4 linked regions of the Arabidopsis thaliana genome follow. The protein of the gene in region 1 interacts with the protein of each later gene in a pairwise test. Each region holds a gene or a part of one and is shown in the gene's direction. Other genes may lie near its edges. The genes, in order: MPK20, AS1, AT1G35560 and BRX.

The links.
Region 2: the proteins of MPK20 (region 1) and AS1 interact in binary tests that used the Arabidopsis thaliana proteins (3 or more experiments, as listed by UniProt).
Region 3: the proteins of MPK20 (region 1) and AT1G35560 interact in binary tests that used the Arabidopsis thaliana proteins (3 or more experiments, as listed by UniProt).
Region 4: the proteins of MPK20 (region 1) and BRX interact in binary tests that used the Arabidopsis thaliana proteins (3 or more experiments, as listed by UniProt).

What each region holds. Positions count from the first base shown.
Region 1 is NC_003071.7:17,838,719-17,848,148, reverse strand, and holds MPK20 (MAP kinase 20), read left to right. Parts: upstream 1-3,768; 5' UTR 3,769-4,201; coding exon 4,202-4,225; intron 4,226-4,613; coding exon 4,614-5,022; intron 5,023-5,348; coding exon 5,349-5,476; intron 5,477-5,600; coding exon 5,601-5,660; intron 5,661-5,739; coding exon 5,740-5,889; intron 5,890-5,986; coding exon 5,987-6,142; intron 6,143-6,289; coding exon 6,290-6,501; intron 6,502-6,581; coding exon 6,582-6,683; intron 6,684-6,913; coding exon 6,914-7,056; coding exon of another isoform or gene 7,057-7,079; exon of another isoform or gene 7,080-7,140; coding exon 7,141-7,577; 3' UTR 7,578-7,981; downstream 7,982-9,430. Other genes in the region: AT2G42885 (Defensin-like (DEFL) family protein), read left to right, coding at 1,556-1,643, 1,883-2,034.
Region 2 is NC_003071.7:15,778,918-15,786,467, reverse strand, and holds AS1 (myb-like HTH transcriptional regulator family protein), read left to right. Parts: upstream 1-2,987; 5' UTR 2,988-3,187; intron 3,188-3,516; 5' UTR 3,517-3,566; coding exon 3,567-4,670; 3' UTR 4,671-5,226; downstream 5,227-7,550. Other genes in the region: ACT1 (actin 1), read right to left, coding at 5,227-5,292, 5,404-6,017, 6,118-6,511, 6,648-6,707.
Region 3 is NC_003070.9:13,113,512-13,120,107, reverse strand, and holds AT1G35560 (TCP family transcription factor), read left to right. Parts: upstream 1-2,872; 5' UTR 2,873-2,983; coding exon 2,984-4,009; 3' UTR 4,010-4,282; downstream 4,283-6,596.
Region 4 is NC_003070.9:11,444,151-11,452,623, forward strand, and holds BRX (DZC (Disease resistance/zinc finger/chromosome condensation-like region) domain containing protein), read left to right. Parts: upstream 1-3,136; 5' UTR 3,137-3,170; coding exon 3,171-3,172; intron 3,173-3,613; coding exon 3,614-3,767; intron 3,768-4,675; coding exon 4,676-5,067; intron 5,068-5,164; coding exon 5,165-5,294; intron 5,295-5,396; coding exon 5,397-5,716; intron 5,717-5,824; coding exon 5,825-5,903; 3' UTR 5,904-6,042; downstream 6,043-8,473. Other genes in the region: NIP3;1 (NOD26-like intrinsic protein 3;1), read left to right, coding at 6,310-6,441, 6,681-6,905, 7,142-7,422, 7,502-7,835. UniProt on the Arabidopsis thaliana protein: Acts as a regulator of cell proliferation and elongation in the root and shoot. Regulates roots architecture and primary root protophloem differentiation.

The sequences.
Region 1 (9,430 bases):
AGCCACTCTCTTATTATTTTTTATTTTTTTTTGTCTTTGTCAGCAGTTATATAGTTTACTTTCGAACAAGTAAATTCTTTTTGCAAGAGATTTTTCTCTACATTACTTACGTTGAAATAGTAAAATTGTTACTGGATTTTACAATCCAAATTAATAAAATAAAATAAAATAAAAACCAATACAAAAATTAGTTCCGGTAAAGGCCATAATTAGATTTGGTTTTTGTGGTCGGCCAAATATAAACAAACAAAAATTATGTAAAACATAAGTAGAGTATAAGCAAAAGATAAGCAAATATACAATTTGTTAACGTTTTCTAGTATTTTATCTACAAGATGAATCAAACTTGTCTCGGCTATGTACTTAAAACAAATTGAACTTCATCATATTTCAAGGCCGTTGAGTTTTTAAGATATGTACAAAATTTTAACATCTAAGTTTGGTCCATCATGTGAACTAACTATGAAATCTAATTTGGTCCACGATATGAGTTATATGTTCACTTGAACTAAATAGAAAAGGTGAGTAACAACATGAAATTGAAAACATAAACTTGCTTCACTATGTAAACTAAATTGATCCATAGTGTGGGAGAAACCAAACTATGATCATGCATGCAACCATGACTGTACCAGGAGACAGACTAATTATTAGCTGGTTTATTACATTTGACAACAAGTCTCTCACGCGTCAGAGACAACGTGTCAACGTGGAGTTAAATAATCGGATACAGTGTGAGAGAAACTAAACTATGATACTCCTTCTCTCCCCTTCTCCTCCGTTTATTCGTTTCAGGATCACTCTATCTTTTCCAGTTTAGAGCGTAAAATTCTCTCCGTCACAATTCATTTAGGGCAAAATAGTTGTGTGTATAAGTTTTAATATAGACGAAATATTGAACCCATTACCTTTTTTTTTTTTTTTCACAATTGAACCCATTACCTATGCGAAGAAAACATGAAACAGTGGGGATAAAGAAGGAGTGGTTTTCGAGGACCCGTGATATTCATTTTTTTTTTTTTTCATCACCCGTGATATTCAAACTCATCATATTTATACACACAGACTATAAAGAGAAACAGACTATAAATAGAAACATACATTATTTTGATAAGTTTTGGAATATTCGACAACAGAAAATTCTCTCTATGTGTGTCCAATTATATTCGGTTTATGTAGGTGGTAATTTAGTAATTAATTACCAGTTTACCACACAGAATAATGGTCTTCCAGTCAAAGTGATTGTAATGTGATTTATACAAATACATTTTGATATTAGTATTTAATTTCTCCAACATGAACTTTGCATTAAATTTGATATATTCAAGTATAGTAATTTTTTTTATAAGTATTCAAGTATAGTAGTTTTAAGATTCTTTCTACTTAAAGAAGATAATAAAAAGAAATGAAAATCTCTCTTTACCAAAATAACAAATTTATTTATGGAAGATCTACTTACTGTAAAATAAAAACAGAGGATAAAAACTTGAAACTTTCCAAGAAAAATAGTCCTATAAATAAGACTTTCACGAAAACCTAAAAGATAATAGAACCTATGGGTATCAAAAAAACCTCTGCAACTGTTTTTCTTGTAATTATATTGACAATTTCGTTTTCTTATTACGATGTTGAGGCCGAGTCAGGTATGTTGTTTCTTTGCGAAGATGTTTATTTTTTTTTGTTATTTTCAACTATCTTTGATCACTACCAAAACAATAATTCAGGAAACAAAAAATTCTTAAAAATATAGAATTAGTAATACAATATTACATGTATCTGTGTATATGTATATGTTGTTAAGAACCTTGAAGAAACTAAAACTGTTATTTGGACATGTATCTACAGATTTATAGTTTTAATGTGGAGTTGTATATATGTGCAGTGATCGAGCCAGCAAAATATGGTGCTTGCCTTTTTCTATGTGATGCTAGACGGGATGATCATGCATGCTTCTATGACTGTACTAATGTAGCTATTTACCGGACTGGACATTGTGTTGGAAATCCTCCACGCTGTTGTTGCATCAGAGGATAATAATCGATTTATCTTCATGACTTCATCAATAATTGGTGAATGGAGCTTGATTTATGTGTTTTCTAGTATATGATTCTAAAAGATGAACTTTTTGAATTGTTGTTTTTCAATTTCTTGATAATGAATAAAACATATAACTTATCATGAATTTTGGTATTGGATTATGATTTTTGAGAGCTTATATGATCCAAAGCAGAGAACTTGGGGAGTGGTGAAAGGCCTTGAAGAAGGATTATTGCCTGGCGCTTGTAAGTGGTCAAAATGAGTTACCCTGGTGGGAAATTGGTTCTGTTCTTGCAGAAAACAGAGATCTTGTGTTTGCAGAAAAATTGCAAACCGAATCTTACATTTTCCATATCTCCTTACCCATTTTATGTTCGCAGAAAAATGAAAGACGTAAATTAGATTTCCTCACATTTTTTCACATAAAAAGAAAGAAAGATTTCCTCACATTTATTCAAGACTAGGTACAAAAATTCTTTGAAGATCATTTTGAAAAAGGATTAGGTCCACTAGATTGAAAAAGACTAGAAAGTAAAAAAAAATGAAGATATGTTTTCTTCTACATGAACCTTATGATGCAAATATCATTTTGGCCAAATACATAAAACAACAAAAATTTAACTTAATTTAAATCAAATTAACACCAAAAAGAAGATTAGAAAAAACATGTCTATTGAAAAAAGAATATGGAAGTATAAAGTAAAACAGTACTAACACACTATAAAAAAAAATGTATTATTCTTCGTTTTTCAACCAAACACTATGATTTGTGCTTACGTAACAAGGTCTGATTGATATTTTTTGTTTAATCCCGTAAGACTAAATATAAGATTCGCTCAATCGTCAAGTAGTTTAGTTATTAGCTAATCAAAATATGATTATCTTTTTTATAATTTAGTTAAATAATTACACTAATGTGAGCTGGTTTGACTTTTGATTTTAACCACAAGAAGGAGACAGTAAGACAGACTAATGATTAGCTGGTTTATTACATTTGACAACAAATCTCTCACGCGTCAGAGATGACGTGGCGTTAACTATTCGGATATGAAAAGCCCTGCGTGTTTTAAAAAAATGGCATGGCCCATTGGGCTAGTTAAGTGAGAGTTTGTTTTTTTTTCTACCCCTAATATTACTATATTACACTCATGCCACAACCAAAAGCTAAATTAATATTGTTGTTTTTAATTGAAGGTTATTTGATATACAATATTAATGGAAAAAAACAAAATAATATATATTTTTTTTTACAGCAAAATAATTGAGAATCATATTACCAGAAACTTAATACAAAAAATAAGCTAAAAATTCCTTACAAAAATGAAGATGATGAAATATAGATTGAAAATATAATTTAGCAGTATATACAATATAGCAAATGATAAAGTGAATAAAACAAAGTTTTAGCAACTAAAATTAGCAAAAAAGCTTTTAAGGATAAAGATGATAACATTCTATTAACATTATATCTATGAGATAAGTACGTGACAAAACGAAAGAATTGGATAAAGAAGACATGAATGAATGGCAATAAAGATCAAAAATAGATCATACACTAATAATGACCAGATCAATAATGTCCTAATTAATTTATTAACACTTGATCAAATAATTTATTTTTTCGTTTTACTAATGGGTTGTTTTTTTGGATCACAGTGACCAAAGCAGCTTACCAAACGCGACACTTTAACCTCTATATATAAATCTCCGTCTAGATTCCTTCCTTATCTCTCTCTCTCCTTTCATTTTCACTACTTCTTCGTCTCTCTCTCTCTCTCTCTCTCTCTCTCTCTGTATCCCTTGTGTGTCGGTGATCAGATCTCGTGCCGACGAAAACGTGCGTCTAAAGCAATGCTGTTCGCACTCTGCTATCTTCAATTCCTCGATTTATCTTGAACTGCGATTGTTTGTTGTTGTTTCGATTTCGTTGGGGGTAATTGGGTGAATTAGAGAGGTGAATGAGAAATTCGCCTGCGATTCTGTCTCTGTCGGTGATCGATTGCCGGAGCAGAACCAGGTCGGATTCTAGCTTCGCCATTTGGAGTAGTGGTCGATGGGGCCAATGCGGCTGATCTGAATTTCTATTTCCCTCCCCCCAATTCAGATCGAATTCTAGGGTTCTTCTAATTCCTGGGTTTTTAGTCTGTGTTTCAATTGAGTCACGATGCAGCAAGATAATCGCAAAAAGGTGAAACAAAAACTCTTCCTTTTTTCCAATTATTCCATCCGATACTATCTGTTCTGTCTGAGATATTTATGTGTGTGTTTCGGTTAATCTTGTTTGTTTCCTGTTACTGTCTTTAATCTTTTTGCCGTTTTGGACAACTCTGTTTATGATCAATGAACGTTACAAGTGTCATCAAACAAACAACGCATAATTGTCATCATTCAAGACAAGATGATGTGTTGTTGAGACATTTTTTTTATTTCTTCATCAGCAAATTGACATTCAATTGCATTGATCCTTCATTAGGCGTCCTTTGTAGCATCAGTAGAGAACCTTCTGCATCTGATTCTTGTATAGTGTTATCTCTATTGTAATGTTTCTGACTTGGAAGTAATGGTATTTGTAACAGAATAATCTGGAGATGGAGTTCTTTTCTGACTATGGCGATGCCAATAGATTTAAAGTTCAAGAAGTTATTGGAAAAGGCAGTTATGGAGTTGTTTGCTCAGCTATAGACACTCTTACGGGTGAGAAAGTCGCGATAAAGAAAATTCATGATATTTTTGAGCATATTTCTGATGCTGCGAGGATTCTACGTGAGATTAAACTTCTTAGACTCCTAAGGCATCCAGATATAGTTGAAATTAAGCACATTATGCTTCCTCCTTCACGAAGAGAATTCAAAGATATTTATGTTGTCTTTGAGCTCATGGAATCGGATCTTCATCAAGTTATTAAAGCCAATGATGATTTGACTAGAGAGCATTACCAGTTTTTCCTGTATCAGTTATTGCGTGCACTGAAGTACATTCACACAGGTAGTCTTTTTCTTTTGGTCTCTCTTTATCCGGCATCTAGCAATAGTCTTTTCATCTTCAAATCTCTCTGTGTGTATATATCGCTCTCTCTGTAGATGAAAATCTTGGACACTTGCAAAATGTAGTGTATGTCAGATTTGTCTTTTAGGACTTTACATTCTACAGTACTATCTCATACATTGATGCACTGAATTGGATTCTTGCGGTTTCCATTGTCTGGCTAAATGTTTGCCTTTTGAAGTTTGCCCCAATATATCTGAACTTTAACTCAGCTGTCGAGTTTGGTTTGTTGTATTATATTATCTTATGAATCTTGGTTGTTGCAGCTAATGTCTACCACCGAGACCTGAAACCAAAGAACATATTGGCAAATGCAAACTGTAAACTTAAGATTTGTGATTTTGGATTGGCAAGGGTTGCATTCAATGATACCCCCACAACAATCTTCTGGACTGTACGTTTGACAAGATGGCTCTCTAAGAGTCTTTTCCTTCTCTTAAACTGAAGTTGGTCTAAATATTATTCACTACGTTGCAGGACCTGATACTCTTCTACATTATTTTCTACTGAATTTACAGGACTATGTTGCTACCAGATGGTATAGAGCTCCAGAGCTTTGTGGATCTTTTTACTCTAAGGTGTTCATTTGTTCTCTATATAACATCTTTTAATTGGTGTGTTGCCGCGATATAACTTTTGATGGATTTGGCTTTGTAGTATACACCCGCAATTGACATCTGGAGTATAGGCTGCATTTTTGCGGAGGTGTTGATGGGTAAACCACTTTTCCCTGGAAAGAATGTGGTTCACCAGCTGGATCTTATGACTGATCTGCTAGGGACACCTTCCCTGGACACCATCTCACGGGTATTGATCTTCTTGCTAAACGAAGTCCATTGAGTTTCTACACATCTTAAGCAAGGACCAGTAGTGATGAGTACCCTGCTTTTATGATGTTATACAGGTGAGGAATGAGAAGGCAAGGAGGTACTTAACAAGCATGAGGAAAAAGCCACCCATTCCGTTTGCACAGAAATTCCCAAATGCAGATCCTTTGTCTCTGAAGTTGTTGGAGAGGCTTCTTGCTTTTGATCCAAAAGACCGGCCAACTGCTGAAGAGGTGCTTTTCAACTTCCATATTGACTAACTATCTCAAATCTTGAATTCTCGGCTTCCTGATTGTTTTCTCTCTCTAATAATAGAGTATCATGCATTTGGGGTTTCTATTGGAGTGAATCACTAAACTACTCTTGTATACTTGAATCAGGCACTTGCTGATCCATATTTTAAGGGATTGGCAAAAGTGGAAAGGGAGCCTTCATGTCAACCCATCACGAAGATGGAATTTGAGTTCGAGAGAAGAAAGGTCACTAAAGAGGATATAAGAGAGCTAATTTCTAGGGAGATACTTGAGTACCACCCTCAGCTGCTTAAAGATCATATGAACGGGGCTGATAAAGCCAGTTTTCTCTACCCAAGGTCGTAATTTTTGTTGATTACATTCTTGAGCTAGCATTGCATATCACACCCAGTCCCTGACATTGATGTATACTGTGCAGTGCTGTTGATCAATTTAGAAGACAATTTGCGCATCTTGAAGAAAACAGTGGTAAAACCGGCCCTGTGGCACCTCTAGAAAGGAAACATGCCTCTCTTCCCAGGTATATCCTCATTTTTTCTGTAAAGTCTGTTGTCACTTGATCTGGTTTCGGTGATCTCCTCTGTTTTTGACCCCCGTTATGCAACTGCTATACTAGTTGTATATTAATATACATTGACATGGCAAGGATAAAAAAGATGGAATCATAAGACCGTGACTATCTGTTTCTTGTGTTGAACACTAATTTCTATAAAAATATGTCCTTCTGACTCTGTGTTTGCATGCTTTCAGATCAACGGTCATACACTCAACCGCAGTAGCACGAGGAGGACAACCAAAACTTATGAATAACACAAACACATTGAACCCTGAAACTACTCAAAACATTCCTTTTAATCATGCAACAATACAAGCACAACAAAGAAACCTCTCAGGTACTTTTAATCACTCATCCTGAATCCAACAGCAATGTGTCCAAACTGACCTCTATAAACTGTAAAACATCTATCTACACGCAGCAGCCAAACCAAGCACATTCATGGGCCCGGTTGCACCTTTCGACAATGGCAGAATCAGCAGAGATGCATATGACCCGAGATCATTCATCCGGAGCACTAATCTCCCCTTTTCACAACAATCTGCTGCAACAGTCGCCATGGGAAAGCAGCAAGAGAGAAGAACAACTATGGAGCCTGAGAAGCAGGCAAGACAAATATCTCAGTATAATAGATATGCACCAGATGTAGCCATCAACATAGACAACAACCCGTTTATCATGGCTAGAACGGGAATGAACAAAGCCGAAAACATCAGTGACCGGATCATAATCGACACAAATCTGTTACAGGCAACTGCCGGAATAGGAGTCGCAGCGGCAGCTGCAGCAGCTGCTCCTGGTGGTTCTGCTCACCGGAAAGTTGGAGCTGTTCGGTACGGTATGTCAAAGATGTACTAGTTCTCCACCTAAGCTGGGCTTTCATCACACAGAACATTGTATGTTTCCATCTTCATGTCATAAAAGAAAATTGTCTATGACACAAAACCATATGAGCAAAAAATATTTTTTTTATTAATTGTGATCCATCATTTGTTTGTTTTTTCTATTCCGACAAATAAATAAATGGATGTTAGATTCTGGTATATATAACAAGAAAGGTTGAGAGTTTTTCACGTTTAAAAGAACCGCTGGCTACAGAAGATGGATCAGTGTGGATGCGCATGGTGATGATGATGATGGTTTCATGGCACATCCAAACGCATGTGGTGGTGGGAACCCATATCACAGGCACCACTTTGTTCTTCCAAATGTCAGTAGAAACAGAAAGGTGCATTGTCACTTGATCATATCTTTAAACCAACCAATTTGTGTATATATTTTTGTGTAAACAGTTGAGTTCGCTTACTTTCTTCCTAAACAAGTTATTTCTTCTACAAATTAATAAATGAGCACAATGAGAGATTGCTGTTCAATAAATAGTATCTCAAAATAGAAATATCAAAATAAAATTAGAAAAAATCATTTAAAGATTATTTATTCACTTCTATTTTAATTAAAATAAAAATAAAAAAATTTGGGATCTTTCTTCTTCTTTCTGATTATAAAGTTTTTAATAAAATAAGTTTTAAAGCAAAAGAGAGATATAGCAAGTGAAAATGCATGTACAATTGAAAAAAATGCAACTAAATGAGGCCAAGAGAGGAGACAAATAAGGTTAGAGGTGGACCCAAAAACCACTGTATGCATTGTCCCAGAGATCACCCATCATGGTAGGTCCACCTGTGTGGCCCATATCTCCAGCCTTTATAGAAAAAAAGAGAAGATAACTAATTAACTTCCCTTGATTTGGAGTTTTTTAGCTAAACATTACATATTTTCTTTCTTAATCTTCCCCTTTCTTAATTCTTAAAAAAACATATACTGTCTTGTCTTTAACCAAACTCTTCTCTTTTATTTTTGTGGCAACAAAAATAAATAGTGAAAGGGAATCATCTCAAACTCCTCCTAGATATAAATATTTAGGTTTTCGTCATTAAATAAAAGTTATTTTGGAAAAAATAGAAACAACGAACAAGATACAAAAGGACATAGAATTGATTATTCCAAGACGACGAATGTGAAAGCTGGCTAAAAGCTAAAATTAAATTTCGAGTGTGTTATTTTTGTAACATATTTAATGTAAGTGCAAATACATAAATAAATAGATACTAGAATTGGGGAGAGTGTCAGTTTGGTAGATGGTGAAATGCGAAAGGCACCCGATTTTTGTAAATCTCAATCCCGAGAAACCAAACCCTCCTTCGTCCCCTCTTTGGAAACATCATCTCTTTCTTTATTTCTCTCTTCCATCTTCTTCTTCTTCTAAAACAACATCTTAACAATTTTTAGTATTACTAAAAACCCTAGACGTAAAAGAAATGTGTTATTCTGTTCCTGATCTTTGTCTTAATTAAGACCATACATTATTTCTTTTAATTAGATGTCAATCATTATTCTTTACTAAATTTTTTTTCTTGAGTAGATTTAGGTTAATTTGCAATCTTGGATTAAAGACCTACAAAAATGCAATTGTTTTTTTTTAATGCAATTATTTTTTATTAAGTCTTTATCTAGTTTTTATATCATATAGTTGACAAAAGAAATGCACCGGAGGGCTCATTTATGGAACCAACATTAAGTAAGATTTACTATAACGGTTTTATGTATAAAAGATGTATATTATAAAGATCTCTAGCTAGAAACATGTAACACTATATTCGAATCCAATAACACTAAACTTCCTTGGCTTTCTTCTTGTTATATAGTGGCCA
Region 2 (7,550 bases), 2.1 Mb from region 1:
TTTCATATCTTCATGAACCAAAACGCCTACAACCCTATTATTCAAGAAATCACTATAATTGTCCAAGTAAAACCATTAATTAACCGAGTCGATTTTTCTATGGTCCTATAGGCATGTTGTTACTCAAACTACTGATTAATTAATAAGAAGTTGTAGTTTGAAAAAGAATCTAGCTGAAAAATACTCCTACTCTAAGAATTTAAGTTAGAATAAAACATATTAATACAAATATAAAAATTTAGTTATTAAAAAAGCGCTACTACCAAGACGTCCTAAAGAAAAACTAGCTTTGTCTTCTAAAAGAAAACCTAGCTTAACTACCCAAAAAAATCTAGTTTTACAAACACTAAAGACAAATTTTATTTTTCAACAAATTTACCAATTAAAGAAAATTCCATGTAGGAATGTATCCAAATTGAAAATATCCCTACATATTTTGTAGGAAAAAAGGTTTTTATAAATATTAAAAAAACGAGAAAAAGAAAAGAGAAAAGAGAAAAAAAAAAGCCGGAGAGAATGGAGCACATGAGGTAAAAGGCAAGAGATGGCAGAGAGAAGATCAGAGAAGGGATCTGCCTCAATTTGACAACTCATATGTCATGTCATTTCCCTCACTACTATTATTTTCCTATTTCAAAAACACCTTTCTCTGATACCATCACCTTTTACCTTCTCTTTTTTTTTACTGTCTTTGCTCTGTTTCACATTCCCTTCTATATATACAGTATAGTATATTTTATCCTTCTTTTATTGTTTTGCTTACTAAAAGTTTTTTTCCTCCGGAATCAAAATTCTAAAATGTATATCATGTTAGGTCGCGAGGGCCATGCAATATTATGAACTATGCATGATGATTAATGTCTGTGGATCCATCACAAATATTATTGAAGGTTGATCAGAGACTATGGACCAAAATGGTCCGAATCGCCTGATAATAAAAAACTATTCATTTTTATTTTTTATTTTTTTTATTAAACATGTGATTAATGATAGATCTTACGATTCGCAACTGGGAAACATGCACTAACTCAAACTTAAAACACACAATACTAAAAGTTCTATTAAATTTTGAATGTAAAGAGAAATATATTAGGCAATCAAACGGTCAAGTAAATCATACACATCGATAATTTATTTTTTTATCCTTCAAAGCAGGCCCATCCAAGGCCCACCACTATTCTCATATCAACATACTTTTCTTGTTTTGGTTAAATCAACCTACCATGTTGGCTGTTCTCTCCGCTCCTCTGTGTAAGATCACACCAACACCACTGCATAATTTCTTGTATTATTTTGAGACTTGAGAGTAAACTGATTGACAAAAAAAAAAAAAAAAAAAAAAAATTGAGAGTAAACTAGTTTCTTGAATATTGATTTTTTCAGCTTAATTTGTTGGGGAAAGATATTACTACTATTGCTGTAAAAAAAAAAAAAAAAAAAAAAGATATTATTACTATATTTGTAGTGATTTTATTTTGAAAATTCTCTTCACTTTTTTGTAGTTAACATTCTAATTTTGTGAAAAGAACTTTTAATGTCAGGTCATGTCTCTTAAAAAGTTTGCATGATGAAATGATTTACAAATTACAATAGAAAATGGAAACCATTGCAAACTAAATTTTTATCAAAAAAAATCGAAAATAAAATGTATTGACTTAGTAATGCTGTGTCTGCTACGATTAACTATTACACATAATGCAACACTGAATTATCCAAATACATTATTAGAATAATAGTATTACAGTATCACTATTACAACAACAATGTCAACAATAATCTTATTATAATAATATATAAATAGACCTTAGTGACATCATATTATATAGAAAACATGTGGTTGCCTAATTTGTATAAGCTAGATACTTGGGGGTGATGAGTGACTAGTTGATGCAATGATAAAAGAGTGAAAGTTTTGTCTGCCTGATTATAGACGTCGGAGAAATACTAAAATACGCTATGAAGATTTTGGCGCATGGTAGCAGAAAAAAAAAACGGAGGGTGTGAGTGAGTAGTGGTAGTCGGATGTGATGGAACAAAGAAAAGTATTTTTGGTAGGGTTATGGGAGAGAGAAGGGGACCATTATTACACACTTACATGCTTTCCCCAAAAGATACCATTCCCATTTTCTGACACGTGTCCCCCTCATCCCCAATTACTCATACGTCAAATCCAATTTTTAGCCTAAAAGTTTTTTTTATTTGTTTAGCCAAATCTATTTTACTAATTAAAGTTTTCAAATGGCAAATAGAAAGATCTTCTAAGGTTTTATAAAATTACTTGATTATTTCTAGTTTTGCTCATTTTTTAAATAAAATTTCTCTTTTTTTTCTTGCAACATTATTGATTTTTTTTTTGATAGGGAGTAACATTAGTGATGTTCTATCTCTTCTCATTGCAAAAACTTTATTTTCTCATCTCTATTTGATCATCATTGCGAAATCTTCCATTTTCAACAAATACTTTTCCATGTTAATATGCTGTTTCAAAATATAAGTGTTTGGAAAATAAATCAACAAGTTTAAATGTTAACTATTTTTATGCTATTATAATTATTTTTCTTATGGGTAAGTGGAAATTAATGTTACTCAAATTGGACATAAAATTCTATTGTTTGAGTGAAGGAGTTTATAAATGGAGCATTATTTTCTTGAATGGTTAGTTTTTCTTCTATCATTTTGACAAGTAAATGACTTTTCAGCCACTAAAGTACAACACTTTTTCATTTAAATTTAAAGCATCCCCTACATTAGATTGTCATTTTATTTCTCATAATGTTATAGAAAAATGAATTTTGAGATCCCAATGTAGTAAATATATATAAAAAAAGGTTTAATATTGTCAATGACAAACAACGAACTTATGGAATTTCAACTTTTCACCTCCACGCGCCTCTGTCAGAGTTTTTTTTTTCCCCACTTGTGATGTAAAAAGGGGAAAACGTCTGTGTCTCAGTCGGTAAACTTTTTCTCTCTTTTTTTTTTTAAAGATTTTATTTTAATTATGCCGTCTCTGTGGTCTAATCGTGTACGTCGTCTGGTTTTAAAAGCCTCTCTCACTTTGGTCTTTTCGTTTTCTCTCTTCCATTTTCTCCAACTATATAAAAAAAAAAAAGTGAGAGAGAGAGCAAATCTGTGTGATGGAAGTTGCTCTTGAGTTTGGGATTATTTATCTTTTCAATATCATTTGGTAAGCATTTTTATTTTGTTTTATAGTAATAATTTTAACTCTCTTATCTTCTTAATAAGTCTTTGCTTAATAGTGTTTTGGGGTCAGCATTAATTTCCCCTGTTTGGTTTCCAGAATATAGGTTGTATAGTGTGATAATAACAAATTATTCCAAGTTTTGCTTCAAACATTGTCAAAGTTTTTGTCATTTTCATTTCTTGAAACGGAAATTTTTCAGACTTTGTAATTTCTAATTCGAAAATTCGACAGATCTTGTAGATTTGTTTCGATCTTTTAGAGTTTTGAATTGGAGAGATTTATGAAACGGGTTGATTTTGAATTTGGTACAGATGAAGAAGGATGGTGAGATGGGAAGAAGTGATGTCAGGAGGAGTAGGAGATGAAAGAGAGACAACGTTGGAGTGGTGAAGAAGATGCATTGTTACGTGCTTACGTTAGACAGTTCGGTCCGAGAGAATGGCATCTTGTGTCTGAGCGTATGAACAAACCTTTGAACCGTGACGCCAAGTCTTGTTTAGAGAGATGGAAGAATTATCTTAAGCCAGGGATCAAGAAAGGGTCTTTGACAGAGGAAGAGCAGAGGCTTGTGATCCGTCTTCAGGAGAAACACGGCAACAAGTGGAAGAAGATTGCTGCTGAGGTTCCCGGGAGGACGGCAAAGCGGTTAGGGAAGTGGTGGGAAGTGTTTAAGGAGAAGCAACAGAGAGAAGAGAAAGAGAGTAACAAGAGAGTTGAGCCTATTGACGAGAGTAAGTACGATCGGATTCTCGAGAGTTTCGCTGAGAAGCTTGTCAAAGAGCGGTCTAACGTTGTCCCTGCTGCTGCCGCTGCTGCAACGGTTGTGATGGCTAATTCGAATGGAGGGTTTTTACATTCTGAACAACAAGTTCAGCCTCCTAACCCAGTGATCCCGCCTTGGTTAGCTACTTCTAACAATGGGAACAATGTTGTTGCAAGGCCTCCCTCGGTAACTTTGACATTATCGCCTTCCACAGTGGCTGCAGCTGCGCCTCAACCGCCAATCCCGTGGCTGCAGCAGCAACAGCCTGAGAGAGCAGAGAACGGTCCAGGGGGACTTGTGTTAGGGAGTATGATGCCGTCTTGTAGTGGGAGTAGCGAGAGTGTGTTCTTGTCAGAGCTTGTGGAGTGTTGTAGAGAGTTGGAGGAAGGGCACCGAGCTTGGGCAGACCATAAGAAAGAGGCTGCATGGAGGCTAAGAAGGCTGGAGCTGCAGCTAGAGTCAGAGAAGACGTGTAGACAAAGGGAGAAGATGGAGGAGATTGAGGCAAAGATGAAAGCTCTTAGGGAAGAGCAGAAGAACGCAATGGAGAAGATCGAAGGAGAGTACAGAGAACAGCTCGTTGGTTTGAGGCGAGACGCAGAGGCCAAAGACCAGAAACTGGCTGATCAATGGACCTCTAGGCATATCAGACTCACCAAGTTTCTTGAACAACAAATGGGTTGCAGATTAGACCGCCCCTGAACCGTCTCCTAAACTCTTTGTTGTAACTTGTAATGTAATGTAAGGTTTTTTTTTTGTTTTTTTTTGTTTTTTTTTGTCTTTGATCATTTGGGTGTCTCCAATGTTTACTTAGACTTTTGGGTTCCTTACCTCAGCTTTGTATTTGTTTCTTTTACCTTTGTGTTCCATTTATCACTTCAGTTTATCCATGGCTTTGTTTTCTCAAGCTTGATGTTGATTTAGTCAGCTGCAACACTTTGGTTTATAAATAAAATCGATTTATATCTTTACATGTGTAAATTCAAGTAGAAGACAGAAAACAAATTGTTACATAATAATTGAAAAATTGAAGAGGAAGAGGTGTGTACTTATTCACTCAAAAACACAGTTGCATTAGATTTTAAACCATACTACAAACAGATTACCATAAATCCATGAAAATGTATTTGGCATGAATTTCAAAACATAAGAGAACAAAAACAAAGAGCAGAATAACGGAAGATTAAAAACCCGGCTTGAGAAATGGTCGGAAAAACCCTGGCGGTGCTTCTTCTCTGAAAAATGATCAACTTTGAACTCAGAAGCACTTCCTGTGAACAATCGATGGACCTGACTCGTCATACTCTGCCTTTGCGATCCACATCTGCACAAGGTAACACATAGTTTCAGAATTGAACCAGTTTAGTTAAGCTGAGAGTGATTAGGATTTAGTTTAGGTCTGTTTAGAGTAAACAAGTGATGGGACTGTGTGTACCTGCTGGAAGGTACTGAGGGAGGCCAAGATGGACCCTCCAATCCAGACAGAGTATTTCCTCTCTGGAGGGGCAACGACTTTGATCTTCATGCTGCTTGGAGCCAAAGCAGTGATCTCTTTGCTCATTCTGTCGGCGATTCCAGGGAACATTGTGGTTCCACCACTGAGCACAATGTTACCGTACAAGTCCTTCCTGATGTCGACATCACACTTCATTATGGAGTTATAGGTGGTTTCATGGATACCAGCATTCTCCATACCAATCATAGATGGCTGGTAAAGAACCTCAGGACAACGGAATCGCTCTGATCCAATGGTGATCACTTGCCCATCAGGTAGCTCGTAGTTCTTCTCAACAGATGAGCTGGTTTTGGCTGTCTCGAGTTCCTGCTCGTAGTCAAGAGCAATGTAGCAAAGCTTCTCCTTTATGTCTCTGACAATTTCACGCTCTGCTGTGGTGGTGAAAGAGTAACCACGCTCGGTTAGGATCTTCATCAGCGCATCCGTGAGGTCACGACCAGCAAGATCAAGACGTAGGATAGCATGTGGAAGTGCATACCCCTCATAGATAGGAACAGTGTGGCTCACACCATCTCCAGAGTCGAGCACAATACCTGCACATCCACAATTCAAGAAAGGCTTTACGTTTTGCTCTGCAAAAATGTACAAAGATCGAAGCTTTACACCATAAGGACACAAAAGCGCTACACTCACCGGTAGTACGACCACTGGCATAAAGAGAAAGAACAGCCTGAATAGCCACATACATAGCAGGGGCATTGAAAGTCTCAAACATGATTTGAGTCATCTTCTCACGATTAGCTTTCGGGTTAAGCGGTGCCTCGGTAAGTAGAATAGGATGTTCCTCAGGAGCAACACGGAGCTCATTGTAGAAAGTGTGATGCCAAATCTTCTCCATGTCATCCCAATTGTTGACAATTCCATGCTCAATAGGGTACTTGAGAGTTAAAATACCTCGTTTGGATTGAGCTTCATCGCCAACATAAGCATCCTTTTGCCCCATCCCAACCATCACACCGGTGTGACGAGGACGACCCACAATACTAGGAAACACAGCTCTAGGTGCATCATCCCCAGCAAAACCAGCCTATTCCAATACAAAAGAACATCATCATCTTAAACAAAAAAAAACAAATGCTACATTGTTCAGAGGATCATCAATCAAAAATTGAAAAAAAGATGAAAACTTTTGTCAAAAAAAACAGAGAGAAAGAATGACACACCTTAACCATTCCAGTTCCATTGTCGCAAACAAGAGGTTGAATGTCTTCACCATCAGCCATTTTCTTCTACCTTTATGCAAAACCAAACATTGTTTAAAGATCAAATTTTTATCAACAAATAACAATCCTTTTTCACCAATACAGATACAAAGAACAATCCTTTTTCAAAGACAAATCAATACAGGACAAAATGGAAGAAGAAGAAGGATATTCTGGATCCAGAATCATGTAAATATTATAAAATTCAATCAGAAAAATTATATTAAAGACATTTGAAAAACATGAGTCTTTTGGTTGATTAAACAAATAACAAATGGTGTAATGAACATACGCATGAGTAAAATCGATAAACAACAGATCGAAAAGATTAGCTCAAGACACCCAGATCCAAAAGAAACTCAGAAACGGATGAATTGAAATCGATGCGGGATCAAAAATCAAACGTAATTGGGGTGTGTGTTCGAAAATCACAACAAAGGGTCTCAAAAAGTACCTGAAATCGAGAGGAAAAAAAGTAGAGATAGAAAAGTTTGTAGTGGCTGGAAAATGAAAGAGGGGAAGAAGAAGAAGGGAGGAGGAGGAAGGAAGGATTGAAGGAGAAGGGAATGGGAGGAGTAAATATAAAAACGGGTCCAAAGGCTTCGACTTCGGCTCACCTTGTTTTCCGGTTCTATATTTCATTTCAAATCCAGTCCCCCAAAACAATAACAACTTGAAATGACGGTTTTACCCTTTTATTTTTGAAAAATATTTTTGTAACTATCAATTTTCTGTAAAGGCTATAAAACCTCATAAACCAGACTCCATCAAATCGGAGTAAATAAACAATTCATTTATTTTTTTTACATAGTAAACAAGAATAAGCAGACCAAAAGTTTTTGGTGGTAGTAGTGTCTACATAAA
Region 3 (6,596 bases), on another chromosome or scaffold:
GGTAAAAATGACGTATATAAGCCACAGTTCTTGACTAAAGAGACCTTGAATCATATGCGGACCATATCCATGGACGTTGATTGGTATAAGGGTGTTTGGTTTGGTCATTCCACGCCAAAGTACTCTTTTTGTGTTTGGTTAGCAGTTCTTAACCGACTCTCAACAGGAGACAGAATGACTCATTGGAATGGAGGTCAGTCAGCCGCTTGTGTGCTATGTCACAACGCTCCCGAAACCCGGGATCATCTCTTCTTCTCCTGTGACTTTGCTTCGATAGTTTGGAGTAACTTAGCAAGAGGAATCTATGGAGACAGATTTTCTACACATTGGCAAGACCTGATACAAGCCATCTCCGGCTCTTGGATGACACCGCTTGACAGTTTCTTTGCGCGATATCTCTTTCAAGCCACGGTACACACCATTTGGCGCGAAAGGAACGGAAGGAATCATGGAGAGAAACCAAACTCAGCAGCTCTTTTAATCAAATGAATAGACAAACAAACTCGGAACCAGCTTTGTTCGATCAAAGCAAGTGGAGATAAGAGATATGACAAGGGCTTACAAGCTTGGTTTGCGATGAGAGAATGAGAAACAATTTTTAGATTGTATTCTAGTTTTTGCTCCAGTTTTTTCAACAAAATGTTGCACATAGATGTAAAAACGCTATTTTTTTTTTGGATTTAATTTAACATTACATTAAAAAAAAAAAAAAAAAAAGTACGATGTATATCACAAGATTATAGAAATACGAGATTCTATGTATCTAGGTGGTATCAAAGAGAAGTGAAAGGTTGAGGAAACTTTTTACAAGAAATGTAAAATGGGATGAGTGAAATTAAAGGGAATGAAAGAGAGTAGAATTGTTTTTTGGATGAGAACTCATGAGATCATACCTACACACAAGACCAACCCAAAGCTAAAACCTGTAAAGCATGGGCTTTTTAGGCAGTAGATGATTCTAAAACAATTTAAAAGCACCATTTTAGAGATATATATGGTCGAAGAGTGATTAACACTTTCACTCTCTCACCATTTTATTTTATTTTTAACGTCTTGCCTACACATTTAAAACATTAATTGGTTGATACTTTTATACTTTTTTAAGCAATTAAAATAATTTATTTAAAAATAAATGTATATAAAAAAATATTAATAGTTTATTTCTTAGATACTCAATGAGTCTCCATCCAATGAAGGTGCTCTAACAGAATCTTGAACAAGGCTACATACTATATGGTCTTGTAAATGAACATTTTCACTTTTTGGAGAGAACAGAGACAAGACAATGGACCGTGGGAGGATCCAGAGTTTCAGACCAAACATCACGTTTTTTTATCACTCGCTTCTTGTACTTCTTCAACTATCTCTGACTGTTTTACTGTTTTCTTTCACTGCTAATGCTTACACGTGCATCTGTCTCAACAATTATTTTTCAGGAAAATAAAAAATAAGAGAGATTATATATACAGTTCAAAATATAATTGCATATATATATATATATATATATATAAATTATATAAAATATACTGTTCAAATATAAAGTTTTTTTTATAGTGGTTTGGTTTCACTTTCATTGTTATCTATAATTTAGCTCACGGTGCGTACATGTAACTTACATTAAGAACAGCCAAAAAGCTCAAGCTCGTGTCCAAATTAAGATTCCGAATGGTATAGCTAGCAATATAATATATTATATGGTTTTGGATTGATAAAAACATAAAACCTAATAAAGGAATTTAATTGATATAAAAAATGAAACAATAATACAGTCTAAATATTCAATTATGAATTAAAATATTGCAATAAATCAGTTAATAGGCATTAATACTAATATGATTATACATACATGGTTAATCACTAAGAGCAACGTGAATATCAATAAACTAATTGATTTACTACGCTTGCATAATTATTTTCCTTAAAACTTTTTGATTTCGAATACTTTGTTAACACCCTGATACATGTGCATATAACATAGTAGGCTGAAATTGGACTATTCTTAGACAGTTTTCACATCTAGAATGAGATGTATAGGTTTCGTTGAGAAAAATTGTAGTTGAGATGATTAGTTATATATAACCTATGTCTGTGGGTGCTAATTTGGCAGATGGGAAAAGAATTGAAGCCTTTATATATAGTCTTCAATTATTAGTATCATCGTTAATAAAAACAGTGGTCCTTATCTCTCAACAAGTCTTTCATCAAATTCGGATAACAAAGACAAAATAGAGAATCAAAGAAAGAGACATTTGTGTTATTATCAGTAAATTATTAAAAAAATAAATAATATTAAAACACTATTATATTGGGTGTAAATTGGCTCTATGATTAGTGATTAGTTTTTTTCTTTTCCCCCATAGAACATTCAACGTTTCCCACCCATGCAAAATCCAACCTAAAAGCCAAACTTTATAAGGAAACCAACAAATAGATCCCTACAATCTAAAGATTGCAACAAAAATGCCCCAAAATTATAATCTTAGACAATCCACACCTTTTTCAATCATGTAAAACACTTCCAAACTTTTCATAGTCCATTGCTAAAAATAGTTTTAGTCTCACAAAGTTAGACCAAAATTCAATACATTCGGCGCATAATTATTTTTATACTACAATATAGTAAGTGTGATAATAACCAAACAAAAAAAGGTTAAGTGATCATTTGGTGTGGAAACAGCAAATATTGGTCTCTACTCTCTACTACAAAAACCTAGTGGGACTACAAATGAAAATAAAACACAAAAGAAAAAGAAAGTGAAAGTCTCTCTCTCTTTTCTACAAGCTGCTTCATCTTCTTCCTCTCACTCTCTCTTTCTCCAAACAAGTAAACAACAGTCAACACAAACTCATAGCCCCACCAGAAAAAAAAAATACTCCAAGAATTTATAGGTTATAAGTAAAAATTCAGTACAAGTTTGTTTGTTTGTTTATTCCATTTTCTTGTGTGTTTTTTTCCCCATAATTTATAAATTTTATAAGCAATATGGAGTCCCACAACAACAACCAGAGCAACAACAACACCACTGGTTCGGCCCATCTGGTCCCATCCATGGGACCAATCTCCGGTTCAGTCTCATTAACCACCACTGCTCCAAACTCCACTACCACCACCGTCACCGCCGCTAAAACACCCGCAAAACGACCGTCCAAGGACCGTCACATCAAAGTAGACGGACGTGGCCGGAGGATACGTATGCCGGCTATCTGCGCAGCACGTGTCTTCCAACTAACACGTGAGTTACAACACAAATCGGACGGCGAGACTATAGAGTGGCTGCTCCAACAAGCGGAGCCAGCTATCATCGCAGCCACCGGAACTGGAACCATACCGGCGAATATCTCTACTTTGAACATCTCTCTTCGAAGCAGTGGCTCTACTCTTTCAGCTCCACTGTCTAAATCTTTCCACATGGGAAGAGCGGCTCAAAACGCTGCCGTTTTTGGGTTCCAGCAACAGCTTTATCATCCTCATCATATCACGACAGATTCTTCTTCTTCTTCTCTTCCCAAAACATTCCGTGAAGAAGATCTTTTTAAAGATCCTAATTTTCTAGATCAAGAACCCGGTTCAAGATCACCTAAACCGGGATCCGAAGCTCCTGATCAAGATCCGGGTTCGACCCGGTCAAGAACACAAAATATGATACCGCCGATGTGGGCACTAGCGCCAACGCCAGCCTCCACAAACGGAGGTAGTGCTTTTTGGATGTTACCAGTCGGAGGAGGAGGAGGTCCGGCTAACGTTCAGGATCCATCACAGCACATGTGGGCGTTTAATCCGGGTCATTACCCGGGTCGAATCGGGTCGGTTCAGCTAGGGTCTATGTTAGTGGGAGGTCAACAGTTAGGGTTAGGTGTTGCAGAAAATAACAATTTGGGGCTATTTTCCGGCGGAGGAGGAGACGGTGGTCGGGTTGGTCTCGGAATGAGTCTTGAGCAAAAGCCTCAACATCAAGTGAGTGATCATGCTACTAGAGACCAAAATCCTACTATAGATGGTTCTCCTTGAAAGACTTCATGATTTCTTTGGTTTTTAAAAAGTGTGAATGTGTGATTTATTGCAACTTTTGTTGAGGACTCCAATGTTAATATGGGTTTTAGGGTTGGCTTTTCGGGATTGCCAAATTGTTATTTAAGAAAATGGATTTATTGTTTTGGTTGCATAATAATTAACGAGTTTTGCAACTCTTTTTATTCGATGCAAAAGCATGTCACTTAAAGGAAATATAGTTGAATCTCTATGTGTAACATAATGGACAAAAGAATAAATTAAATATTTATCAGAATGCCTTTTCTCTTTTGTTGAAGGGTATAATTGAATACACCTTCTTTGACCGCTCATATATTTCAAATATTTCGAATTGATTGCAGTTCGTAAAAAGCTAACGAATATAAATAAAAAATTATATGGTGTAGACTGTAGTGATAAACTTTATTGGGTGCATGAGCACCACATGTTTGGATACAAATGGGTTTTTAGATTTATATATTAATTCTCTTTTAAAATTCGTATTTTGTCTATCATACTTTTGTAGTATCTACCAAAAAATTGTCCACTTGTGGAGCAACATGGACACGTCAGAGAGAACTCCTATGCCACAGTAAATTCCAATGTGTTTGAAAAATAGGCTGGACGGGTAATCAGGCGAAATGCCGTTTTTAATGTGACTAGGGGTTAGCCCGGATATATATTTTGATAATTGATATTTTCAAGTTAGTTGATATAGTTTAAAAAAAATATTGGATTTGATTTCGGAAGTGTATATAATAGATGGTTTATTGGGATTTTTATATATTTACTATTTTTAATATATTTAAAATATATTAGAAATAATATGTTATCATGTCAAGAAGAAAGAATATGATTTATTTTACTTGTGATTTATATATCTATCATATATGGGATGTAGAAGCATGCTCCTAACTTAAGCTTTAGCAAGTTACATATTAACATAAGACTTGTTACATAATTCTGACCAATTACAATTGCTAGAATACGTGTATCAGTAATATTTTAGAAAACGTTAACATGCAAATATAAAAATATTACTTATCCTAACTTCTGTCTTTTATTAATTCGTGTATTGACTATTTCATATTTTTTATTTATCTTTCTCTCGTATTACCAATGTCAAAGCGGAGTATTTGGCAAGAAAAATTCGTGTCAAACCGCTACATATTACCTATATAAACAATTTTCCGCAATCTTGGTTCATCTGAACTCTAAATAATATCTGATGACAAAAAATAAAATCACTCTCAACATTCTCTTCGGGAAAAATGTCATGTAATCATTCAACTTTAAAAAAATGGCCATTTTATATAGGAATTTCATAGTAAGCTATTTTAAATATCAACTAAATGTTGACTGCCATATTAAACATGAAATTGCGTTGATCAGACCAATTTTGACATGACGTTAAAATGTGATTACGGAACCACTAAAAGCCGATATCAGTCGTTAACTATTCTGTAGTCATGTGTTTTGGTTATTTGTATTCTTTTTATTTTTTTTTGTCTTAGTTTTGTTGTGCGTTAACGATTGATAACAGTTGTTAGTGGTTATGTTAGTAGATTTTAAAATCATGTTTTTTTTGGCCGGGTCAACATTTAGTTGATGATTAAAATAGCCTTATACGAAATTCATGTTCAAAATAGCCTAAATTTGAAAGTTGGTAATTTGACTAACAGAATTGTTAACGACTGTTAGTGGTTCCGTTATCGGATTTTAATGTCATGTCTATATATATTGGTTAGGTCAATACAATCTCATGTTTAATACAGCAGTCAATGTTTAGTTGATGTTTAAAATAATATACTATAAAAATTCAATATAAAATGACCATTTTTTAAAGTTGGACGATTAAATGATATTTTTTCCATTTCTCTTCTCCTCTATTCTCACAGCGCAGTTCTCAAAGGTGATTTTTTTAATCATCCTTCCGTTGACCTTATACACCATCTCCGACCCTCCTCCTTCGTAGATATGCTCTGCTTCCATGCACATTTTGATGAGGGAGAAGACCCATCTATTAATAATTTCTTATGCATTGTAAACATCGATCTCAAGAAAACATTTTCTCTACGTGGTATCTATGGAACATGCAGCTGATATTAATTATTGGCTGTGATTAAACTCAAAGCTTTTATAAACTCGATGAGAGAGTAGTGATGAAACTCAAACATATTTTATCATGATGCAAGTGGCAAAGAAAGTTGACCTCACGAAGAGATCTCTTTGCATTGATCTGGACATCTGGTGACAAAAATGCATCACCAATGTTCTTTGACACTACCTTTTTACTGCTCTTCAAGTTCATAGCCGGATTTAAAACAACAAACGACCAGTTAGTATAGGCATCTTGCTTAAAGATTGTCCAGTTCTTCATCAACATAATCCATCTTTACACATCAGTTTTCAACATGAAACCTAGCTCTGATAATGGTTCCTCCCTCTTAACACTCAGGAAAGGGAAACACAAAATGAATAAGAGAAAGCAAATTTAATTACTTTAGCTTGAGTTTATAGGTTTTAACCTTCATGACCTGAGTTGAATAAACCACGGTTTCTTGACCTATTTGCTTCCATAATTTCT
Region 4 (8,473 bases), on another chromosome or scaffold:
AATCTAAAATTAAAAGTAGAAAAAATCGATGACCAACACGACTAAGTAAAGTCAAGCTCGTTCATATCACTTTCATATAATTATTTTAAATGCTTCGAACTCGATACATTCTTTCAAGCTACACTGAGAAACTTCATTGTGATTAATATCAACACCTTTTTGTCTGAGGTTAACATTTTATGTTACTAGTATGCTTTTTCTTATATCATAGAGATTCAGCTCGTTTGTACTTCCTTAGAAAATTTGTAATTCACTATGTTATAACCTTCAGTGAAATTCGAACATGGCCAAATATTTCATCATTAACCCCAAAATCAAGAATGCTTGTCTTTAAAACTCTTTTGACATTTCACTTCCTTCGTACTTTTCACGTATATGAATGAAAATAATAAAATTTATAAGAAATCTTCGTTTAACATTTCTTTTCTAAAAAAGTCATTGCATGCATGAGATACTTACATATGCAATTGAAGAAAACAAAATTACAGTACAAATATTTATTCCAAAATACATTAACACATCGTCAATTCTGCAAGCTTTTCTTCTATAGCAATCTCTAAACCTAGCATAATTTGGTTTAACGAGTCAAGAAAAGACAATTTTTTATTTATTTTTTAATATGGTCGGACCATTACACTATATTATATATTAAAGAAATGAACATGACAAACAAACACATCACATGTGTAAAATAAATAGAAATAGTTGTATCATCCCATACTTCAATACTCCATCCACCATGCCAACATTAATCCATGATTGGGACACTATTTAAGCAAACACTTCAACTTACACTTTCACACTATATTATATAACTCCAAATGTCCAAATGAAAAAAATTCAATGAACAAGTTATTGATTCTATTCACAATCGATGCTTCTTTACTCATTTAGTAGAAACATAACAACAAAAAATTGGCACACATGATCATAACCAAAACAAGACAAAACGATGAAACACACATATATTATGTATAGTAAAATAAAATAAAAAGAGATGATGAAATGAACCCACACAAAGCGAATCGTGATGCGACGGTTCCCTTGGCCTGTCAAATGTATCGTGACCAAAACCCGACCCGGTTTCAGCTGTCTCAAACCAATCAGAAACCGCCACGTATTCTACTTCCACCACACGTAAGCCATCTCCGTCACCGGTAGACAACATGGGCCCTCTTTGCCGTCTCTTCTCGAGACCAATATTTTTCCTCGGCACACCAAAATAATAAACCTCCGTCAAAACTCACGGTTCTTTTTTATTACATTAAACGCCGTTAAACATTCTCTTTCCTCCACGTATATATATATACTCTTCGTAACTCTTGTCTCTCTTCTCTTCGTCTAGTTAAAACTCTCGGAGCTCCTTTCAGTTCTCGGGTCACCCAATAACCCGACTTCTCGACCCGGTTTCGTCTCTGTTCTCATTTTTTCCAAATTTCTCTTCCGGAAAATGAAGATTTCTATGGGTTTTTGAGTTTGGAGATTTTCTCAGTGAAGTTTATTACATAATCAGATTCGAAGAAGAAGACATTTCAGGTGAGTTTATAAAAATTCTCTTTTTTGAAGATTTTTCTCGGGAAAATAAGAAAACAGAGAGATTCGTTGCTCTGTTTCTGTTCTTCTGTAGAAACGATTAGTCACTGGTTTTTTTCCGATCGATCTTTTCAATACTATTTTTTCCCGGAAAAAAAAAGATTCAGAGATTTTTTTTTTTTTTTTTGCGTTACCTTTTTCTGCAAACATTTGTCACTTGATTGATTTGATTTAGACAGATTCGATTCGTCATTTTTTTCTGATTAATACCAAAATTTTCTCACTAAACCCAAATCAGAAACTTCACCGAAAAATGTGTATTCATTCTTCAATATTAATATAAATTTTCATTTTCATTCAAAAGTTTCCCGGTATTTATTGTTCTTTTACTTTTTTGAGAAAACGCCGAATTTTTTCTCAAAAACATTAAAAGCAAAATTGTAGTATCATAAATTGTTTTCGTCCTTTTGTAACACATTTATTACAATTACTGTCTGTAACACTACTACACTAATCTTCTCTGCAGCCATTGATGGTCTATTTATAGACGTAGACTCAGAACTAACCCCACTCGTGCCGGCTTCCTAAATAGACCAAAGCCTTCAAGAGGAAAATAAAGCAGAAGCTAGCTATCTAGTATCTCAATAATCTCAGATCATATCGCTTCATTTCTCAGATATCGAAACACAAAGGTGAGTGAGTAATAAACAAAACCCACTAATCAAAATTTTATTTTTTGGATTGTAATGATTAAGAAAAAAAGAAGAAGTCGTTTTCTGAGGTGAGAATAATAATGGTTTTTGTATCAGTTTTTGCCTTTGCTTTTGATATCAAAACAGAGTTTTTTTCGTGATTCGTGATTGTTTTTGCGATTTTATCTTTTACTTTGGATATAGTTTTAGTTTTCATGTCGCGACACGCTTTAGATTGGTCCATCATCACTCAAAACCCTAAAAATAGAAACCAATCTCTTTTTCTTTTTCTTAACACGTGACTGTCAAGATTCCATTTTCTTGTTATATTTTTCAATTTTGTTTTGCTTTTCTAGTGTTTCCAATTGTTTTCTTCTTTACTTATGTATTTGTCTTGATCGATGTTAAACACGCGGAATCAGAACATATTATTTGATTCTCTTGAGTCATCACAATAATCTGATTTTTTTTTAAAATGTCATAAATTTCGGCTACTGCAAAAAAAATGTAATTATTCTTCGAACTTTTGTTAGTTGAGGGATGGGTTTAGGATCTTTTGCTGCACACAAAAGTATTAAGTTATTCTTTAACAAAAAAAAAAAACTATTTAAAGTAGAATAAAGAAGCATTTGTCTCTATTATGATTGTCTTTAGAATATATTATTACTTGTAAATAATGTGTTTATACAATTTTCAGGTGTTTAGATTTGCACAATTAATTTTTAAAATATTAGTATTTCTTAACTGGGTCCTATTTTCTGATCCCCAAGCTCTCTTTCTTTTCTAGTTATAACATCTTTTTTTTTTTAATAAAGAAAAGTGTAACATGTAGTTTTAATATCTCTTTCAACACTTTTGTCTTTATCAAGATCTCTTCACTAATTTATACCCATCTTTTTTTATTCGCTCTTAAAATAGGTAACACAAATATCCGACCATGGTGTAATGTAAACTGTTTTTCTTTCTTTCCATTTTTAAAAAATGGGTTTAGTACTTGAAATATTTAGCATTGGTTCTTTATGAGTTAAACTACTAACCAGTCAAGTTACATTTTCTTTTTGTTATAACATGAGTAGTTGTTTCCTGACTAGAGATATGTCAACAACTTTGTCCTTTTGTGTTTGTGTTTTGCGTTATAAGAAAACGACAATTGAAATCCAAATACCCTTTTCTAGCTATATGTTCCTAACTTGTAACTAATGTTTACATGTGTACTACGATTACATAAGCTTTACCCGTGTTTTATGTCGGATTGTGAGAGTGAGCTCTACTTTAACGTTCTTAATTACTTTTTGTTTTGTTTTGTAGAGTATTATTATTGATTTGAGTAGAGTAGTGTGAGGTTTGGTTTGTGATGATGTTTAATAGAGTACTCTCTGGTTTTATAGGTCTGAAAAGGCAGAGAACAACTCAAAAAAGAGACCAAAAATGTTTTCTTGCATAGCTTGTACCAAAGCAGACGGAGGTGAAGAAGTCGAACATGGAGCGCGTGGAGGCACCACTCCCAATACTAAAGAAGCCGTCAAAAGCCTAACCATTCAGGTCTCTCTCTTCTTTCTTTGTTGATCCTTCTTCTGCTTTTATTTTCTTTCACTTTATTTTATTGCTTTTCTCTAATTGCCTTGCTCGTGAAACAAACAAAGACACAAACCCCAATTAACGTATCTTAGAGGACTTAAAAAGGGTCCATATATTTGACTATTATTCGTTTTCTTTACCAAAGAATAGAGTTTGAAGTCATTAGTATATAGAGGTTACTGTTGTTTAGGACAGAGATCTTACAATGAGGTAACTTCACTTCATTTTTTGGAATCTTTCACCAATCTCTCTTTAATAGTTTTCATGTCAGTGTTTGCTTCCTCTCTATGTGACTAGACATATGAAAGTCAAAAACAACTACTGAAACAATTTAAACCCTCATTGTACATATCCTTGAATTATGTAGCCAGTTGAATTATCAGGACTATCATTAAAGCTTATATTGGGGTCATACTTTGATGAATATTGCTAGTGAAGCTTGATCTAAATACCTTTCTCTCAAATAAGCTTTAGTGGATTCTTACCTAGACAAGGAAATAAAGAAAGGGTTTTTTGGGGTGGGGGTAACTATTTTAGTAAATCAAAAGAACATAAACAAAAGAAATAGTGGGCCGTTATGATTGTGGTGCAGGCTAAGAAGACAATATGAAGTTTCTTTTTTTAATACATATGTTTAATTATGTTAGATCTCATAGCTTTATTGTTGTTCTTTTAATAATGATCATAGTAGACCTCTTTTTACTTCATTGGGCTAAAAAGTATACTTAGTCATACTTAAAAAGGCTTGAAACTACCTATAATGTTTGTGTACCGTTATACTCAACATTCTTGTGTGTTTAAATGGATTACTTTGATAAACAAGATAAAGTTTTTGAATGTAATCGGTCTTTTTGGGTGCATATGTTACGCAGATTAAAGATATGGCTTTGAAATTCTCTGGTGCTTATAAACAATGCAAGCCATGCACTGGTTCCTCTAGTAGTCCCTTGAAGAAAGGACATAGATCATTTCCGGATTATGACAATGCCTCTGAAGGTGTTCCATACCCTTTCATGGGTGGAAGTGCTGGTTCAACTCCTGCTTGGGACTTCACAAACTCCTCTCATCATCCAGCTGGACGGTTAGAATCAAAGTTCACTTCAATATATGGAAATGATCGAGAATCTATCTCTGCACAGTCTTGTGATGTTGTACTGGATGATGATGGACCAAAAGAGTGGATGGCTCAAGTAGAACCTGGTGTTCATATCACATTTGCTTCTCTTCCCACTGGAGGAAATGATCTCAAACGGATCCGTTTCAGGTATTTGAACTACTCAAAACAATCTCTATATCTTCATGGCATTCAACGCTGAAACATGAGATAAAAACTAACAATTACTTGTGTCTTGTTTTGAAAGCCGAGAGATGTTTGATAAGTGGCAAGCTCAACGGTGGTGGGGTGAGAACTATGACAAGATCGTTGAGCTTTACAATGTACAGAGATTTAACCGCCAAGCTCTCCAAACGCCTGCAAGATCCGACGATCAGGTAAACACATATATCCTTAGATCCCTTAGTCTTTCTTCAGAACAGGATCTATATGAATCTTGTCTTTTAAGCCAGAGAGGGTAACACAAGTTTATATTTCAGTCACAGAGAGATTCAACGTACTCAAAGATGGATTCAGCAAGAGAAAGCAAAGACTGGACTCCAAGACACAATTTCAGACCTCCAGGATCTGTCCCGCATCACTTTTATGGCGGCTCTAGCAACTATGGACCAGGAAGTTATCATGGAGGACCACCGATGGATGCAGCAAGAACCACAACTTCTTCCAGAGATGATCCACCTTCCATGAGCAATGCTAGTGAAATGCAAGCTGAGTGGATTGAAGAGGACGAGCCTGGTGTTTACATTACCATCAGACAATTATCAGATGGGACTAGAGAGCTACGTCGAGTCAGATTCAGGTATAACAAAACGTCTAAAACTAAGCATTTGCTAATCATATACATTTTGAAAGTTGGTAATCATACCGTGACTAACCGGAATCTATGGTTTTGTGGTTTAATCAACAGCCGGGAACGGTTTGGGGAAGTGCATGCAAAGACATGGTGGGAGCAGAACAGAGAGAGAATACAAACACAGTACCTCTAAGCAAACGAAATATTATGAGTACCAAAATCTTTAATTAATTAATTAATCTCCTTCACATAACAACACAAACTACACACATTTTGCTTATCTTTTTGTTCATCTTAGCTTAACATCTATACATAAATTAAGTGTTTTGAAATATCATTTCTAATCAAAGCTGATTACATTTACATATAATTATAAGTCTATAACTATCGTGTAAACCATGTCGTGTGTTTTGTGACAAAGATAAAGAAGTCAACTATGAACCTAAAAGAATTTATCAACATGCGGTATAGACTATAGAATAAAAAAGTCAACTTTATTATTTGCTTATAAGTTATAACGAATACAAAGTAGAGTTGACCATTTGAGTTTTTAGATGAGAAAACCATAAACTTGGAGGAAAGTCACCATAGTTCCATCAATGGCTGAGATTTCTGATATTACTACTCAGACACAAACCGTTGTCTTGGACATCGAAAACTATCAATCCATTGATGATTCCCGGTCGTCGGATTTATCCGCTCCTCTTGTGTCCGTATCGTTCGTTCAAAAGGTGAGCCGCCTCTTTTATGTTGCGATATGGTTTCTTAATTTGTCGTGAAATATTTGTTAGTCCAAATCAAGATTTTATATTTCGTGTGATGTTTGCTATAGCCTATATGCAAGCTCAATCTTGACTTTGGTTCTAATTATTGGTAACTGATTTTCCAATCTATGAAGTATGATAATCAAATAAAACAAACATTATTGTTCTCTCTTTAGTTGATTTTTTTTGTTGAAAGTACTCTATAGTTGATTGGAGAGTTCGTGGGGACATTCACTATGATATTTGCCGGTTGCTCAGCCATCGTGGTAAATGAGACGTATGGCAAACCGGTGACACTTCCCGGTATAGCTTTGGTATGGGGACTAGTCGTAACGGTTATGATCTACTCAATTGGTCATGTCTCTGGTGCACATTTCAACCCTGCTGTTTCTATTGCCTTTGCCTCTTCTAAGAAGTTCCCTTTTAATCAGGTGATCCAAAGATATCTACAATTGTAAAAAAATACCTCATACTATCTTTATAATGTTATTTCATGATTTCGACCATATTCATAATTATAAGCAGCAAAATATGTATTTCCACTAGTTATTTGTTAAATCAAGTTTTTCTCGTTTATTCCATTTCGCATATTTGGTCATTTTACCATAGATATCATCTATACCAACTAGTCTTACATTGTATATGTAATGTGGTGGTTGTATTACAGGTTCCGGGGTACATTGCCGCTCAACTTCTCGGATCGACCTTAGCGGCTGCAGTTCTACGGCTTGTGTTCCATCTAGACGACGATGTTTGTAGCCTCAAAGGCGATGTTTATGTGGGAACATATCCGTCAAACTCAAATACGACCTCGTTCGTAATGGAGTTCATCGCTACTTTCAATCTAATGTTTGTTATATCTGCTGTCGCAACCGATAAACGGGCCACCGGGTCATTCGCTGGAATCGCTATTGGCGCAACCATAGTACTCGACATCCTTTTCTCCGGGTAACTATTCTAAGTCTCTTTTGAAAAATTTCCATGGTGATTTTGTTAAAACATAAGCTAACAATGTTTTATTTTCAAGGCCAATTTCGGGAGCATCTATGAATCCAGCAAGAAGCTTAGGGCCTGCACTTATATGGGGATGTTATAAGGATTTATGGTTATACATAGTTTCACCCGTGATCGGGGCATTATCAGGTGCATGGACTTATGGTTTGTTACGATCGACAAAGAAATCATATAGTGAGATTATTCGTCCAAATTGCAATAAAGTATCTTCGAGAGATCGCCAAGAAGCTTCCCAAGATGAGATTTGTGTTCTACGAGTGGTTGATCCGGCTAATCAAAACTATTTTATATGTTCATCACCTACTGATATCAATGGCAAATGTAATGTTACATGTAAGTTGGCGTGAATTATATCGATGTACTATTCACTAAACTAGTTTACAATATATAATTCATAAGTTTATTTATGATACTGATGTATCATATTTTTATATAAGATTTGTCGAGCTTTTTTACTATTTTAACATTTTACCGATTTATATCAGTTTTACACTGATCAACTCAATATCGAAATAATTTATTAATTTAACGAGTATTAATTTATAATAATTTATTGTATTGTATATACTTTTTTTTATATGCGAAAATGATAAATATCTAATTTTAAAAGAAAACATTGTCAAATTCATTCTTTAATTGATGTCATCTTCAATATATGACGCATATATTTGTTTATGTAATAATTTGTTTTAGTAGTTTATGTAACGATTTTGTAATTTAGTTTTGATAGTAACTAGGATATGACCCGCGGTACACCGTGGGCTAATTTTTTGTTTTCTATTTATTTATTTTTACAACTATTGAAATTGTTGCTTATAATATTGTTGTTGTACACCGTGAATCGAGTTTTTTAATATTGAATTTGCAGTTGTATTTGTTTTGTTTTGTTAAGTATTTAATATTGTATAACTATATTTTAAATGTTAATTCTAAGACTTCATCCTTAATATACTATTTCGTATTAATATCGACTTAAACATGTTCC